2 linked regions of the Arabidopsis thaliana genome follow. The protein of the gene in region 1 interacts with the protein of each later gene in a pairwise test. Each region holds a gene or a part of one and is shown in the gene's direction. Other genes may lie near its edges. The genes, in order: MYB94 and AT3G56520.

Region 1 (4,809 bases):
TAGTTAATTGTATACTGACGCCAAAAGGAAATTAATTGTAAAAAGATGTATACAATTTTGTTTTTAGCTAAGGATTCTCTCTTCTTGGTTTATTCACGTTGTTACCCAAAAGTTCTGACTTAGTTTCTATGCCTTTCTTTACCCTCTAAAAAATGCAAAGCAATCAATATTACTCATCGGAATATTACTAAGGAGTTTTTTGGGTTAACCAACCCCTACAAAGATTTTGGGTGAACATGGACATATATTGGCTGAGAGTAAAATTGCTTCCCTAATCTTGTAACTAAACGAAACGTTGGTTTAAAACTCGCATACTAATAACTTTTAGTTGCCAATTCACTTGATGAATGAGTGCACTCAATTGCTTATATCGAAGCATATATACTATATTAATACAATTTTTTTTTTCTTTTTGCTAAGAATATCATTATTTTATAAAAAATGTACTTAGGTCTACAATAATTGAAATGTAGACCTAAAATGTTGAAAATATTTTCTTATCTTCAAATACCTTAATTCTTATATAAAAAGAAATCGACGCATAGCATGATACTCAGCCTCGGTAAAATTAAAAGCATAATCTTAACCTTAAGAACCAGACAAGAAGTTTTCTGTTGAATTCTAATCAATATTATAAACGATACCAACAACGTAAAATAATTTCGAAATATACAATTCAATTTCTGATATTCAGTATTACAATATAACTAGTTATACTTTAACAACAAATAAATATAACTAGTTAGAGGTGTCTATGTGACGATTTTAGTCAAAATTATTAATACCATCATCCTCGGGACATGGGTTACGTAATACAAAAAGACGTGGCGTATGGGGTTTCAACCTATTTTGTTCAATGAAGTCTCTACGGTCCGTTGAATTTGTATCTATTGTACGTAGTATCTTCAGACGATTTTTTCATATTGTATTATATAATATTTATGTTAATTATTTAGATACGTATAATATTATTTCCTATCCAATTTAAAAGCTCAATACACAACGACGACGCGCTTTGCAACATTCCTCTCGTTTCTTGTAAAGTTTTTGAAATCCTTAAACTGATTTTTAAACCAATTCTTAGTGTATGAGATTACAATCATTATTGTTTTACAAAAAAAAAGTTTATCGATCTAAATATACCAACAAGTCCAACATCACCAAAAGATCTATATGTGTGGACATTTTCCTTATTGGGAATGTGGGGATATGTGTTTCGATTATCTTTTATCAACCGTTCAATTCAATTACCTACAAAAGCTCACAAGTCACACCTGACACCACTAATTAACATTTTTACATGTTCGACTAAATTCGCATCAATTCAAATTTAACTTCTTTTTTTTCTTCTTTTAAATAATAAATTTTGCTACTTATTCTGTGTTTTGTTGATGTCTATATTTGATTGTTCATGAGAATTTGACGGGATTGAAACCAAAATATTTGGTTTGATTTTAGTTAAGTTCACTCAATTTTGATATATGCTAAGTCGACTTATTAAGTGGTTACTAGTTTTATATATTTTGAGATCATGTAATAGTTTTCATATGATATGTATACCAATTTGATCACAACATAACTCACAAAATATCAATATTTTTAGAGAGACAGATAATTAGTTTAAATTCCGGTTGGTTCTCAATAACGCAGGAAGGACATTGTAAAATCATGCCACATATATGCATGCAAGTGGAAAATCCAAATTTACAAATTCATATTATGAAAATCCTTTTATTGTTTAATTCATGTATGCTTTTCCAAATGTATAATTAGAAGGTTTAATTACATAAATAGAAGTTATATACTCATTTCACTCTCATTGTGGACCCATGCATAAATGCAATCAAAGTCTTTGAAGTCTAAACCCAATCAAATTGATGAACACCTAATAAAATGATACATGCACATATGTTCTCGTGTGGAGACAAAATTAAGGGTTTATTTGCGATAATATGAAATGACTAATTACAAAGAGAAAATAGTAGGCTAATTTTAGAGAGAGAAAGCATGGAGTAATGGTGGAGAGAGAGAGAGAGGAGGCTGACTTTGGAGAGCAAGAGAGTAAATGCATTTGGCTGTCCATGTTGACTCTTTGATAGCAAAACCCCACTCTTCATTATTGTTACTTTTAACTCTATTATTATTGCTACTAATTCACTCTTCAGCTTAAACCTCTCTCTCTCTCTCTCTCTCTCTCTCTCTCTCTCTCTCTCTCTCTCTCTCTCTCTCTCTCTCTCTCTCTCTCTCTCTTTGGCTGTATAAATATACACAAGCTCTCTCTCCACATCTTCAGACAAAACCAACCACCACTTGTACCTCTTTGTCTTAAGTACTCTTTAACCCTACAATTTCCTAAGCTCTCAAGCCACAAAAAACCACAAACCGTTCTTCACCAATATATATATCTGATCATCATCAAAGTCCTTCTCTCTGCTCATACCACAAACCGTTCCATTCTTCCCCTAATCACAAAGTGATATTTACATAGAGAAGATAGAGATGGGAAGACCACCATGCTGTGACAAGATTGGAGTGAAGAAAGGACCATGGACACCAGAGGAAGATATCATCTTGGTTTCTTACATCCAAGAACATGGTCCTGGAAACTGGAGATCTGTGCCTACTCACACAGGTATCTTCTTCTATCTTAATATTATGTTTTTTTAATGAACAATAGTAATATTTTAATTTCAATTGTTAACCCCTATACTCTTCAGAAGTACCCTTTAATGTTTTTTGTTTTTTTCTTGGGTTTGTGATTGTTTTGTTCTGGCTTCCACTTGGTTGGTATGATCATTTAATGAAAAGGAAAAATTGTAATAATATCCGATTTATGGCACCAGCTTTTTTGTCCATATATCACAAATTAATTACTCTTTTAATGAAATTATCTTGTTGTTGTTGTGGTGATTTAGGTTTGAGGAGATGTAGCAAAAGCTGTAGATTGAGGTGGACTAATTATCTTCGACCTGGGATCAAGCGTGGAAATTTCACCGAGCATGAAGAGAAGATGATTCTCCATCTTCAAGCTCTTTTGGGAAACAGGTAAATACATACATATTCACATGCACATGATCTATAAAAGTATACAAATTCTTTTATTTTTTTGGGTATGCATAAAGATAAGGTTTTGAACTTTAAATAACTTGGGGACCAAATAATTATGAAGGTGGGCAGCTATAGCATCATATCTTCCAGAAAGGACAGACAATGATATAAAGAACTATTGGAACACTCATTTGAAGAAAAAGCTCAAGAAGATGAATGATTCTTGTGATAGTACTATCAACAATGGCCTTGATAATAAAGACTTCTCCATATCAAACAAAAACACTACCTCACATCAAAGCAGCAACTCCAGTAAAGGTCAATGGGAGAGAAGGCTTCAGACAGATATCAACATGGCTAAACAAGCTCTTTGTGATGCCTTGTCTATTGACAAACCACAAAACCCAACTAATTTTTCTATTCCCGATCTTGGTTATGGTCCATCATCTTCTTCGTCCTCTACCACCACCACCACCACCACCACGAGAAACACTAATCCATACCCATCTGGGGTCTATGCTTCAAGTGCTGAGAACATTGCTCGTTTGCTTCAGAATTTTATGAAAGACACACCAAAGACCTCGGTGCCCTTGCCGGTTGCAGCCACCGAGATGGCTATCACCACGGCAGCTTCGAGCCCTAGCACAACCGAAGGAGACGGAGAAGGGATTGACCATTCTTTGTTCAGCTTCAACTCCATAGATGAAGCTGAAGAGAAGCCTAAACTAATAGACCATGACATTAATGGTCTAATTACACAAGGCTCTCTTTCTTTGTTCGAGAAATGGCTCTTTGATGAGCAAAGCCACGATATGATCATCAATAACATGTCACTAGAGGGTCAGGAAGTGTTGTTCTAGAAAGCATTAAAGTTTGACGATTTGCTTGAGGAACCACGAGGCTTAGTTATAAACAATTTGTATAATTAAGTACTCTTTAGTTTTGTTTTCAATCCTTATTATGATCATATTGCAGTAATTAGGGATTTTAGTCTTTAGTAGTAACTCTTAAGTTTTAACACATTTTTCTCTATCTTTTTAGTAGTAACTCTTTATTTTTTCCTTAAATCTTTGTCGACGTGGAGATGATATCTTCTATGTAGTAGAAACTCAAAAGTGTACATCATCTTTATTAATGTAACGTCTTTTTAATCGTGTGACTCATTTGGTTATACAAATTCATGTCACTTAATTAGTATTGATATGGTTAGGTTTCAGATTTTATGTTTCCATAAACTTCAATCAGTAGGTAGAACAAACTTTTCTCCTCATTCATTATATAGATTAAGATTACTTTAAACTGTTTAATGTACTAAATAATGAAGTTCTATAATAAAGATATAGGTTCTTTTACTGGTGAGATATTTCATTAAACAAACAAAAAATGAGTTGTTACTAAAAGAAAATTAAAGAGCAAAATCTAGTTTTGTATCCGATTATAGGAGGCAAAATCTAGTGATTCATAGAATTATGTAAAACTAATAAAATAAAGCTGCTAATTAACAGGAGAGGCAAAAAAAGAAGAAAAAAGTAGTGAATTTAATGCAGAAGAAAATGTGAGTGTTTGTTTGACTTATGCCTGTGTTGAGCACAACGAGCATGATCCAAGTAGAGATGCTTTACCTTAGAGACATCACACATATTTTAATGTCACACTGTCTCACACCCAACTCGTTGACTTTTTTTTTGCTTGAGTCTCTAATAAATTTCGGGCTTAGTAAATTAATTGGCTGAAAATGGAATTTATGGAATTTATTTGACT
Region 2 (3,316 bases), 3.4 Mb from region 1:
AGTTTGCTTTCCCGCCAGGTTATAGATTTGTACCAAAGGACCAAGAACTCATCTTTCATTACTTGAAACCCTTTTCGCAAGGCAATAAATGCTCATTGCTCAATGTTCCTATCCATCGTGTGAACATCTACGAGTCAAATCCACAACATCTTTCAGGTTTGTCTCCGTCAATGGCTCTGTTCTTTATTCTCTAATCGTGGTTTATGTATATAAATGGCTCTGTTCTTTTGAATTCAATACAGAGAAATATGAGAAGGGTAATGATAAAGATTGGTTCTATATATCGGAGAGGACCAAGACCGGTAAGGCTGGAAGAAGTAATAAACGTGTCGACAATGGAGGATATTGGAGCGCAACTGTAGCTGCCCAAAAGATCAACGCTGGAAATGGCATAGTCGGCTACAAGACTTCACTAGAGTACTATGTTGGGAAACAATCAAATAGTGTCAAAGGGGATTGGTTAATGCAAGAGTACTGGTTTGAGTCTTCTGATGATAACAACAACGAGAAGGTGAGGGTAAGTGTCTTTACTTGGATTCCAAGTTATTAGGATTCGTGACTTTTGGATTTATTGTGTTTTGTTTTGGTTGGTGTGTATAGGTGGATCATGCTTTGTGCAAGATTTATCTGACTCCAGCGGCAGCAAAGAAGAAGAAAGCTGAGGAAGCAGAGAATGAGAAGCTGAAGAAAGAAGAAGACGTTGAGCAGCTGGATTTGAATCAACCAGACCAATTGCAGCTGCAACAGCCTCATGATATTGTGTATCAACCGCAGTATTGTTTACTTCCAGAACATCATCAGCCGCAGCCTTTTCCTGATAACTTTTCTGAGTTGATCAGCTTTCAACAGCAACCAGTGATGATCCCAGACGATTTTGAAGATTTCTTGGCTGAATTCACTAAACCACATTCACTGGATGGAGATGAAGAATTCAACAATTATGGTTTGTTTGAAGGCTTCTTTGACACAGAAGGAATGATAAAACATTAAACTAACTGATCTCAATCTGCTCATACTTTGTCATTTTGGTTTTTGTTTTCAAACACCAAAAACAAAAAGAAAACTAACTGATCTAGCTTTTGTGCCTTTATGAGTTTTGTTATCAGAAAGAAAACAGAGAGAAGATTTCATTAGTTTTTTTGCTAAAATTTCATTAGTTGCTATCGGCATTGTTTTTCAAAACCAGAGATAATTCTCCCTGTCTTTATTGCTTTTGATGCCTTGATCATATAAAACATTTATACACAATTTGTCCAACATTTTCTTACCGTTTTAAACTAACACATACAAATATAAAACACCGGTGTCTTCTTCTTCTTCATTTCCTCCTCTAAACATTTGTTTAGTTTATAAGCACGCAACAGTGCCACCCCCAAAATTTCTAATTTTTAATATTTTAATGGACTGCCCTCTTTAAGAAATTAATTCTGCCCCCATTAAATGAATCACTTCTCAAAACAGAAAGTTATTTGCAATTTATATTTCCTTACTACAATACAATCAATATCTTTTATTCAATATAATTTGTTCCTTTTCCTTTTCTTAATTGATTTTTGAAGATAGAAAATCAATCTTTATTTATTTGACTAACTACTTTTTCAATTTGTTGAAGTACTAAATAGTTATTAGTTATTACTGATCTTTTATTCTTAATGTAATCAAGTCTTTTTATGGGGGAAAAAGTATTAAAAATTTTCATTTCATAACTATCTTTTATTTTCATATAAAATATTGTTTTCAAAGTTAGTAACTCATAAGATTGTGACATGTGTCAAATCTATTGATCTTAGATTTTGACATTTGTAAAAAGAAAATTTCCTTCTATTAATTTTAAAACTATAAAAAATAATTGTGTGAAATTACAAATTAAAAATTATAAATAAGATAACTAAAAAAGCTATTTAAAAAAGAAATTATAAATAAGATAAATAAAACAAAACTTTATGTATCTTATTAAAAAAATAAAATTAAAAAAACGTTTACTTACTCTAATTTTAAGCTACTAATTATTAAACAAAAAGGACTACTTTTTATTAATGGGATCTATAAATAGGTAGCTCACCATAGCAACTTTTATTCATCCTCGATCAATAAACAAGCTTTTAGAATTCTAGTTTCAGTTTGCTTCAATCACAATTTCACCTTCTTCTTTTCTTTTTTTTGCTAAGAATGGAGCCAACACACAGAGCTTTGCCCGTAGGATTCAGGTTTCGTTCTACAAACTGTGAGATTTCAAACTATTTTTTGAAGAAAAAAGCTTTAGGACAACCCATGAAAGCTCGTACGATACCTGAAGAGTGTCATGATATCTTCTCAAGACATCCGCATGATCTGCCTGGTGAGAATTCGTGGATCTAAACTTTTATAAAGACAATGTCCATCTTTAATCATCCTGTGAAAGAGCCAACTGAATTTTCTTTGTTTCCTTCTTTCAGGTTATCCAAGTGAAGAACATTGGTACTATTTTTGCAGAAAACGTGACAACCAAGTTACTAGTAACTCTCATAATCTCTGGACACCAATCGGAGAAGAAACCAATGTGCTAGATCCAAAGAATAATGATGCATTAGTTGGTATTAAGCGTCGGTTTACTCTTATTGCGCAAGAAGAAGAAGAATCTGATAATATTTGTTTATCTGATGATGAAGAAGCTTTAAAGTATAATTGGTTCATGGATGAAATTAGCCTCCCACAAACAGTAGCGAATACTGATTGGGTTTTATGCCATATTTTTGGCAAGAAGACTAAACCCGAAACTACTGATTTGTCCACAATCGATTCCGAATCCGAATAGACTGCAAAGGTTTTTGATCCTATATGACCTCCAGTTCCTTCTCTGCACCTTAGCTTCTCTTCTTTATATATATATATATATATATATATATATATATATATACATGTTGGTTGGATTGTAAAGAGTTTTGACTAAAAGATCTAAAACATTCTCACTTTTTCACTAATAAGTAACATCTCCAAACTTTTAATACGAGAGTTGGGCCAGTTGCATAGAATTAGCCTCTCTAACACTAATCAAAACATTACAATATCGTTTTACAAAAACATTTCAGCAACAAAGTTCAGAATTCAGGTTCTGTAGACTACTCATAAGTCGATAACCCGAATGTGATTTGACCTGATTAACCGAAATAACGATAACCGGATACCAAGAATACCGGTTTTGTACATTATCGTTACAAGAACCGGATTTATTTAACCCTAAACAAGCGAACGAAGTTTTACACACCACCGTCTTCTTCTTCTTCCGAACGGAGAGTACTAGTTGTTCGCCGACGGCACTAGCTTCTTTTTCTTTCTC

The links.
Region 2: the proteins of MYB94 (region 1) and AT3G56520 interact in a two-hybrid assay, tested with the Arabidopsis thaliana proteins (one large-scale study listed by BioGRID).

What each region holds. Positions count from the first base shown.
Region 1 is NC_003074.8:17,538,726-17,543,534, reverse strand, and holds MYB94 (myb domain protein 94), read left to right. Parts: upstream 1-2,227; 5' UTR 2,228-2,499; coding exon 2,500-2,632; exon of another isoform or gene 2,633-2,800; coding exon of another isoform or gene 2,801-2,915; coding exon 2,916-3,045; intron 3,046-3,169; coding exon 3,170-3,908; 3' UTR 3,909-4,246; downstream 4,247-4,809. UniProt on the Arabidopsis thaliana protein: Transcription activator involved in the activation of cuticular wax biosynthesis under drought stress. Binds directly to the promoters of genes involved in cuticular wax biosynthesis. Transactivates WSD1, KCS2/DAISY, CER1, CER2, FAR3 and ECR genes.
Region 2 is NC_003074.8:20,946,585-20,949,900, reverse strand, and holds AT3G56520 (NAC (No Apical Meristem) domain transcriptional regulator superfamily protein), read left to right. Parts: upstream 1-2,169; coding exon 2,170-2,338; intron 2,339-2,435; coding exon 2,436-2,794; downstream 2,795-3,316. Other genes in the region: NAC064 (NAC domain containing protein 64), read left to right, coding at 1-156, 243-511, 601-990.